Linked DNA regions of Nothobranchius furzeri. The main gene of each other region encodes a partner of the protein of the gene in region 2 in a complex. Links are inferred from orthologs where the notes say so. Each region holds a gene or a part of one and is shown on either strand. Other genes may lie near its edges.

Region 1 (4,425 bases), on a different chromosome or scaffold from region 2:
GCCACCAACGCCAGTAGAGGATGACAGGGGAGCAGCCGAGGAGCCAAAGCCGCTGGTTGGAGTTGTAAAGCTGAAGGAGCTGGCCTGAGGGGGGGGCGGGGCATCGAATCCTGCACAGTCAGAAAAACTGAATCAGCTTTAAGTAGCTTTCTGGAGTTTTCTACTTTCAGAAAGTATGTATGGTTTTTCAGAAATCCGTAAAAGTATTTATCTTATCGCGTACTGTGATGTAATGTAAGCAATACGTCTTTTTTTTTTGATAAACACGTCCCCAGCCCCGCAGAGCTCCGTACAATTGGAAACTGAGCACCGACCAGAACTAACCAATAGCGTTAGACTACCGCTTACCTGCTTCAAATTTAAGGAATACCTCAGCTGATGCAGAGTTGATGAACTTTTCACGAACAAGAAAGTCTCTAAAAGAACTAAGAGAACGGAGCACATCACTCCTGTCCTTAGATCCCTACACTGGTTACCAGTAAACTACAGAATAGGTTTCAAAGTGCTCCTGCTAGTTTACAAATCACTCAGCGGCATGGGACCAAAATACATGTCCGATCTCATTCCTGTATAAACACCCAATAGGGCTCTGAGACCCCTTAGAAACAACCAGCTGGTAAAACAGTGGTCCTCAATGGGCCGCACATGGCCCGCGAGCTGCCTCTTTGTGCTTTTAAATAAAATGTATTAATAATAATAATAAGAGGAGTCGTGAGGCCATCACCAACCGGCCTACCTTTGGTTTTACATTCATAAACCAACAGGAGATTCTTTCAGCATCTTATTATTTTTCATTTTATTAGAAAATCCAATAGTTCTTGATTTTAATCCAGATTAAAAGAGTGCCTGAAGCTAGAAATCAGCCACTTCATGTCAGTTCTCAAACTTACATCTAAACACTGGTTTTGATGGCGAGGTTGAGAGTTGTGGGTGATGATCTGAACTTTTTTTTTTTTTAAGGAAACACACGTTTAAGAAAAGCTCCAACAGAAAAGTCAAACCTTTGTTTTCAAAGCTGGACGTGGGAAAGCCGAACCCGGTCGATGTTGCAGAACCGAAGCCGCTGGAGGACGGCTGAGGAGCGCTCCCATTCAACTCTGCAAGCTGCAGACAAATGTAAATTATAAATATTAAACCACAAATGGTGACTGTAAACAGACATGCGAGCGTTAGAGCGGCGTCTTACCAAAGCTAAACGCGTGGTGGGACTCATGACCTTCAGCTCCTGGACTCGGCTCTTCCACTGACTCAGCAGCTGATTGACGCCATTAAGCTAAACACACAGAGCAGGAGATTACAGATAAATGTGTAAAATCCATGTTTTTGCATCAAAACAAACAACAAGCATTAACAGTGAGTGGATTTCTCCTCACGTAGCTCTGCAGATCCCCTGAGGCTCTGGCGGTGTAATACTCCAACCTGAGCTCCTCTGGAGACAGATCTGTGAACCCTGCAGACGTAAACATGCACGTTAAAACCAGTCCTGCTGTTATAAAACAGCTGGAGCGACGCATTACTGCTACAGACCAGATATGGAAGCCTTGGCGCAGGAGTAACAGGAGAAGCCCCACTGCTTTGAACTCTCCCAAACACCCATGTCTGTCTGAATCATCTCCCTGATGAGGGGGAAATATTCACACGGTTTTAGGACAAAGAAGAAATCGATTTTCAAATCACAACAAGTAAAAACAAAATCTCACAGTTTTTTATCCTCATCTTCATCTCCTACTCTTCCTCCTCCTCCCTCTTCTCTTCCTCCTCCAACTCCTCTTCCTCCCCTATCAAATGTGTTTGAAGAATTGAAGGCGGAGAATCGGTTTTGATTGGAGAATGAGAATTCAGAGCTCTTCGGGTTCTCTCTTCTCCCCCCTCCTCCCCGAAAACCCCAGTCATCCCTTTCCTGGGAGAAGGATGAAGGCTGGATGTAGCCGCCTCGTTGTTGGGAAGGATTCACCCAAACTTTGTTTCCAAACCCTGGAACCAGCATACAGAAAGAAATTAGTGGCTGTGAAATCTAAAGCTTTCTTACCGATTCCCTTTATTAGATGACCAAAGTGCTGAACAGGTTAAAATTAACTTTAATGTGATTGTTTTCATGTTTCTAAGACTGTGAGGGTAAGAAAATGTACTAAAGGACAGAAGCAGGTGGTCCTTTAAAATCCAAGACTTCAACTAGTATTGATTTCACGGTTTTTACATTTTAACATCCTCCTGGACTCCCTGTAGTTTGCCTGCAGAGCCAACAGGTCTAGATGATGTCATCTGCATGGCTCTACACTTCATCCTGCAGCATATGGATTTCCCGGGTACCTACGCCAGGATCCTGTTCATGGACTTCAGCTCTGCCTTCAATACAGTCCTGTCAGACCTCCTCCAAGACAAACTGTTCCAGATCAACGTGTCTGAGCAACTGTCAGCAACAAGTCAGGCTGAGGAATATTATCCAGAAAGTTCCTCTGGAGTAAGAAGAAGAGTTTATAAAATATGCACAAAAATAGAGTTAAAAAGGAAATCTGATGCAAACCACAGCAAAGTCTGGACCAGTCCTTTCCCTTCATTTGCTTCTGGTCGAGGTGAAACGTCACAGAGCAGCGTGACGTAGGAAGGAAAAACAAACGTGTGGACCACGACTGAACACTTGTAAGTGATGAAGGGGTTTAAAGTGTTGCCTGTGAAACAGAATTACCTCCTCCTTGTCGTCTGGACTGTTGCTGGTCAGGAGCGCGGTTGTAATTGTCGTTATAACCTCCTCTGTTTCCGCCTCTGGGGTGCTCATTCCAACACTTCTCCCCATAACGACACCGGCCCTGAAGGAAAAAGTTACACACGACCATTCTGAACCAGGATTAGTGTGAAAAGAGTGTAAAATGTGGGCAAAATGCCCCAAACGGCTTGATGTTTACGAAAACTTTTTCCGTCTTTATACTCCAAGTCGCAAACCGATGACGTATTGGGAACGTCATCTTTTTGGCGACAGCAACCCCACATGGTCAATTTTGTTGAGACGTGGTTGACAGTGTTTATATACATATTTACTCTGGAAATCTGTTGTCTCATGAACCATTTAGCTCCAAATTCAAGTTGACTGTCAAGGAACAATATCAGAAGGTTATTAAAGCAATTCTGAGTCCTGTCTTGTCAAGCTCCTCCAATTTTCATCACAATAACATTAGTCCAAAACTCCCTGAACTTATGCTTAATGGATGTTCTTTTACCGACAAAATGTTATCCAATATTGTAATAAGACAGTTATTTATTCAAGAGCTGCATCCATTCTTAGCCAACAGCTTCTCACCTATAATCTTATGAAAGTGGAAAAAAAGCAAGGAGTCTTTTTTTTCTCAAGCTTCCAGTTGATCCAAAGATAAAAGAGATGCAGTTTAAAATTATTAATTGCATTTATCCATCTGGAGAGCTTTTGAGACATCGATTTAACTTGGAACATAATGGCTGCTCATTTTGTAATGCAGACATAGAAACCACTGACTGAATTTGTAAAGAGTGAATTAGAGAATTGGTTGGCTTTGAGGCTAATCCACCAAAACTTTCTAAAGAAAACATATTAATATGTTGTTTTACAGCCAAGCACAATATTTATATTGCTTTAAATGTTATAATTATCCTTGGAAATTTTTACATACACAAATGTTGTTATGCTAAAACCTGCCCTAATTTCATTGCATTTCGTAAAGAATTAGTATATCACTTCTCTTTGAAATTCATGAAAGGCTCCAAAGCCTACACTATGAATGACTCTGTGAAGAAATACAAACTAAATGCTAAACCCTAGCAAATTTATTGAATGATGTTTTGCACTTTATCAGTTGTTTTACTTTCATTTTGACTATTTCACTCAATTTGCATTTTATTTATATTATGTTTGTTTATTATTTATTTACTTTTCCTCATTTTATTTATCTTGTCTGCTTGTATTTCCAGTTAAGAATGGAATATTGTAATGTGCCATGTTTTGTTGATTAATAACCCTATTTAAAAATAAATAAATAAATAAATAATAAATACTTTATTTTACTGTATATACATATCTATGGTTGAGACGTGTCGAGTTTCTTCTAGTGGGAGGGGGTTAGGGAACAAAGGCTCATCTTTTTTTCCTTTTTAATTAGTGATAATATTATAATTTTAATGTAAAAATAATATTAGTAGTTTAGTATTTATTTCTGATAAGTGCTACATTTAGCTGCTGGTGGTAAATGTAAATAAACCAGTTTTGTAAGTAAGTAAGTAAAGTTTATTTATATAGCTCCTTTCACAGATATAAATCACAAAGCGCTGTACAACATGAGTAAAATCAGGGCAAATACCTCAAACCAATAAAAACATCAGAAAAACAATAGCAGTGACAACAATAGTATCAAAATCAGGAGTAAAAACAAAGTCAAAGTGTGAACAAGAACAAAGCCA
Region 2 (4,483 bases):
ATCGTGCTCAGATCTCTCCTTTCACTTTGTGAAGGACTCATTTCTGCCTGCAGGTGGATGACAGCTTACAGAAGCTTTTGACCAAGGAGAGAGCATCTCAGTCCAAAGCGTTGGAGCTGCAGAGCCAGCTGAGCCGAGCCAACACAGACCTGAGTCAGCTACAGAGAAGCAAGGAAGAGGCAGGTCTCCCACCAACACATGTGCTCCATTAGAGACAGCGAAGAATAAACTAAATGTTTTATTTGTTCCAGATGGAGCGTCGCTTTAAGACTCAGCTGCAGAACTTAAAAGAAAGGCTGGAGCGGTCCGACTCTACCAACCGCAGCCTCCAGAACTACGTTCATTTTCTCAAAACCTCCTATGGAAACGTTTTTGGTGATTCTTTTATTGGAAGTTGATGCGTTGTCATTTTTACCAAAACATTGCTAGATCTAAATTAACATCAAAAATTCATGAATTTTACTAATTAAACATTTTATAAAATAGTTTTGTCTGACATTTTTATTCCCAGAACTCCAGTGGTGATTTTTCTGAATGGATCTCAGAACTTCTGCTGCAGATTTTTAAGGGAAAATCCTTTTTTTTTCAGTACTTGAGATTAAACATTTCAGAGTTACATCTGATATTTATTCATATTTAGCCATTTCTCGGTAAACCTTATAATTTAATTGACAACTTATTGCTTTATACAAAGTTTAAAAATCACTCAGCATTTCTTTAGAGTAAAAGATTTATTTTTTTCTCTCCATTATTGTTCTAGATTTATAAATGTAACGTTGCAAAACAAATGAAACCAAAAACAAATGAAATGATGTAAAAGATATCATTCTATATACTATTATATAGAATTATATATTTAAAGAGCAAGTCACCCCCTACAAGCAACTTACTTCACTCCCTTTTCATGTTTGAAAAATGCAACAAATGCTGTTGCCTAGCAGACCGAGAAGGCATTGTGACATCATAATGTACCAGTTTACATCATAGCATACCTCTTAGCCAATAGCGGTGGCAGATTTAAATTCAAATGCAGTGCAGAGATTTTACCTGACAACGGCGCAACACTGAGTTTTAGGCAGAATATTTAAATTTTATTTAAGATGCACTGAAGTACCAAATTATTGATGACACGTGTCTGCAACACAATTAGACACACATTTATACAGTTTATCAGCAAAAAAAAGTTGATTTGGGGGTGACTTGCTCTTTAAATTCCCATCTCACGTGGTCTCTTCCTATGCTCGGGTCCTCCACCAGAGGCCTGGGAGCTTGAGGGTTCTGCAGTTTCGTGTTTTTCTGGGATCTGCTTTAGCCACTCCTCAAGTCTGGGGTAAGGGTTAGGGTTTGATGACCACCTATGTCTTCACTCTCCAGGCTTGCTCAAGTTCTTCTTCGAGGTCCTGGTGCTTCTCTGGTTTCTCGTGTTCTTTTTCCCTGATGTTGTATCACAGACATTTAATTAAAAATATAAATATCTATATATAAAAACTTGGTATTGCCACTTAAACCACAACGCCAATTGTAGGAGAGCCCGTCTAGCCAGTCAGACGAAAAAGGCGGGACCTTCCTTGGACCTTCCCAACAGCGCGGCCGGGCAGGGGCAAAGGTGAAAGTGCCAAAGCGGAACCATAACCCACGGAAGACTGTTTCCTGGCGGACTGTTTTTAATGTAACCTCTTCGTTGATTCCACCACCCACCGCATTTGTTCCTCTTTTTTTTTAAATTATAGCTTGTTTCAGGATGCCTTCCGAAAGTTTACGATGGGAAACTTTAGAGGCGTTAAAAAATTCTCCCAAAGGAAAAGTGGTGTTTGACCCTCGCTGGTCGGAACGGGGCGAGGTAAGAAGTTAGCTAGCGGCTAGCGCTAGTTTAGGTCAGTTCAGTTCGTTTTATTTCAAACATAAACATTCACCAACATTTCATAAAATCATTCCATGCAGTTGTTTGACAAGGCTGTTTAGCTAACAGAACCAGAACTTAGCCTTTCTTCCGAACTCTCGGTGCAATTCACCAGAAAACAAACACAATATAACACGCTAAAGCAAAAAATGCAGAATAATAATCAGCACAAAAAGAGACAATGACAGTAGTGTGAAAATAAAGATATATACAAACGGTTAAATCTCTCCGAATCTTAACTGATTTAATGACTGTTTGCTTATGGAATAAAGGTCATTTATCAGTTTAGGGGATGGTTTACTTGGATTCAGAAGTTGTTTTATCTAGTCTAGCTGTGGGTTTGACCTGTGTCGTGTTCTTGTAGCATATTTTAGCTGGATGTACAGAGACCCTCGGGTTATCGTCACACGCCAGGGTCATACTGGAGCGGATCGATCCAGTGTCCCTACAGAAGTCCTCCTTCCTGGATCAGAGAATCACAGCAGAAGAAACTCCAGCCTCAGGTTCCTCTACAAGCTCCGTCAACGATCTCAAACACCGCATCCTCTCTTCAGCTCTTTCGCTAAACCATGATTACGACCAGGTACAGCACTTTGAATGTAAACTGCTCTGACTGGGATGTTTGTCTCTGCTGGAGAATCTTTGGATGAGCTTTTGTGAATACTTTGTCACCATCTCAACTTGATGTGCTGCAGACTGTTTGTGATGAGGTGCAGAGTGAAAGTCCAGAGGCAGATGACGTCAGTGACGTTTCCAATCCCGTGCCATTGCCTGTCATGTCCCTGCTGTCTCCTAAAGCCATGGAGACCGCCGGATGCATCATCCTGTTTGAAGAAGGGCAGCGGAAAAAGGCAAAGGTCAGGCAGAGATTCCTTTATTCTGCATCTTGGATATTTGTGGTCATAGAAGGTTTTTTAAAACCACAAACAACTATTTGCTTTGAGGATTTGTACAACCCCCACATACAAACAATTACAATATTTAAAGGGGCATTATGGAAGTGTGACAGCCAAAACATGTATAGAAATAATACATTCTCCTGCAATGCCCTGGTCCTGTAGAATGAGCCCTGGCATTTTTACTGTGATTGCCTGTTTTTCTGTAAAATCACAGAAAAAGAGAGATGCTCGGGTCGAGCAGGCTGCTTCATGCACGTTCACGCTCAGGCATAGCCCGTAGCATTTGCTATCCGGAGCTTTAGCAGCAGAGAGAGAGGCAGTGCCACTTTGTCGCTGTTCCTAACTCCTAGTGACAAAGCTAGCTACATTTCTGAGGACCCTTAGCTACTTTCTGTAGAACTTTCTTGTAGATGTTTCCTGCAAATTAGCAACAAAATAGCCATTTTCGCTCCGAACCGTTCTTTGAACGTTGTTTCAGCTGTCATCAAGGATATAAATGTTACAGACACGAAAGACATTACTGGCGTTTTAGCTCACCTAGTTAAACGTTGGACTCTCATGCAGAAGATCCGAGTTTGATTCTGGATGTGAACATAGTTCATTTAGATTTTCTTTTTTACATTAATGGTATATTTTCTTACAGTAAGATGGCCAAATTTTTATTTGAGACTCGCCGAACGGCATTGAATTCACAAATAAAAAAGATGTGGGTTCAACTTTTATTCAGGAACAATTTTTCAAGCAAGGGAAGGGAATGATCTGAGCATGCAGGAGGACTGACCCATCATAAACCTTTGTCGGCTGTGCTAAAGAGAAAGGTACAGAACCACATTATTTAATTAATTAGCTGCGTGTTCTCCTGTCCTCTGTCCTCCGGGCCACACACACACACACACAAGGGACTGTCTCAGCTGTTATTTTCATTAAGGAGTGTGCACGTACAGCATGCGCGCCTCGTGCACGAGCCTACCATTGATGCTGCCGTTACGCTTTTGGCCTGAGGGGGCAATTGCGAGCATAAAAATTCAAAACTCCGTAAAGTCCCTTTAAACTAGCTGAATTGGTTTTACCTCACCAACCATTAATGACCGGATTCGAGCACGCGGTGCTGTATGTTTTACTCCAGGCATGTCGTGTGTCTCCAAAACTGCACATTTGTTTCGAGAAGCTTGCTGTCTTCTCTTGACTTAGTACTTTTAAACACCTGCTAGTAGGGATGTAAGAAAATATCGATATGGCAATACATCACAAAAATGTTTCCTGCGATATATCGATATTGAAAAACCGTGCATCAAGTTTTTGGAAGAATTTCCGTGCAAACGTTTGTGTACTATTTTCTTTTCTTTTGGTGCAGTTCAAATGACGACCGCTAGTTGGCAGCAGTGTGCAATGAGTTTTGTTTCCACCACTGAAATGTAAATCCCTCTGTGGTCAGATACCTCATGTATCTAAAATTCTCTTTACCCCCAAAGTATAAAGAAGTCCATTTTAAAACCTTGAATGATATTTACCCATCTAACCATTTTATGCAAACTAGATTTAAGTTCAATGTGGAAAAATGTTACTTATGCAAACAAAACGATGAATCGACCAAACATCTATTCTTTGAATGTGATAAAATTCTAATCATGTGGAATTCACTCGAGGATTGGCTGAACTCCAATCAAATTTATATAAACAATTT

Evidence for each region.
Region 1: the proteins of gle1 (region 2) and nup42 are in contact, whole or in part, in a crystal structure (PDB 6B4I), measured with the Homo sapiens proteins. The link is inferred for Nothobranchius furzeri from reciprocal best matches to the Homo sapiens genes GLE1 and NUP42. Residues at the interface, in NP_001003722.1 of Homo sapiens: Ile385, Ile593, Leu598, Asn599, Trp602, Arg603, Ala606, Gln607, Leu609, Asn610, Gln636, Tyr637, Gln638, Val639, Gln640, Lys643, Met644, Ile646, Leu647, Glu650, Asp651, Tyr652; in NP_001357375.1 of Homo sapiens: Asp185, Asn186, Val187, Leu188, Phe189, Gln202, Phe203, Gln204, Ser205, Lys206, Lys207, Phe208, Leu210, Gly211, Lys212, Ile213, Pro214, Leu215, Lys216, Pro217, Pro218, Leu222, Leu223, Asn224, Val225.

Annotation. Positions count from the first base shown.
Region 1 is NC_091751.1:29,848,971-29,853,395, reverse strand, and holds the start of nup42 (nucleoporin NUP42), read right to left. Parts: upstream 2,956-4,425; 5' UTR 2,835-2,955; coding exon 2,687-2,834; intron 2,331-2,686; exon of another isoform or gene 2,208-2,330; coding exon of another isoform or gene 2,198-2,207; intron 1,975-2,197; coding exon 1,701-1,974; intron 1,617-1,700; coding exon 1,528-1,616; intron 1,451-1,527; coding exon 1,374-1,450; intron 1,274-1,373; coding exon 1,187-1,273; intron 1,105-1,186; coding exon 1,002-1,104; intron 111-1,001; coding exon 1-110.
Region 2 is NC_091750.1:38,709,543-38,714,025, reverse strand, and holds the start of gle1 (mRNA export factor GLE1), read left to right. Parts: upstream 1-1,633; 5' UTR 1,634-1,741; coding exon 1,742-1,840; intron 1,841-2,264; coding exon 2,265-2,483; intron 2,484-2,595; coding exon 2,596-2,757; intron 2,758-4,483. UniProt on the Homo sapiens protein: Required for the export of mRNAs containing poly(A) tails from the nucleus into the cytoplasm. May be involved in the terminal step of the mRNA transport through the nuclear pore complex (NPC).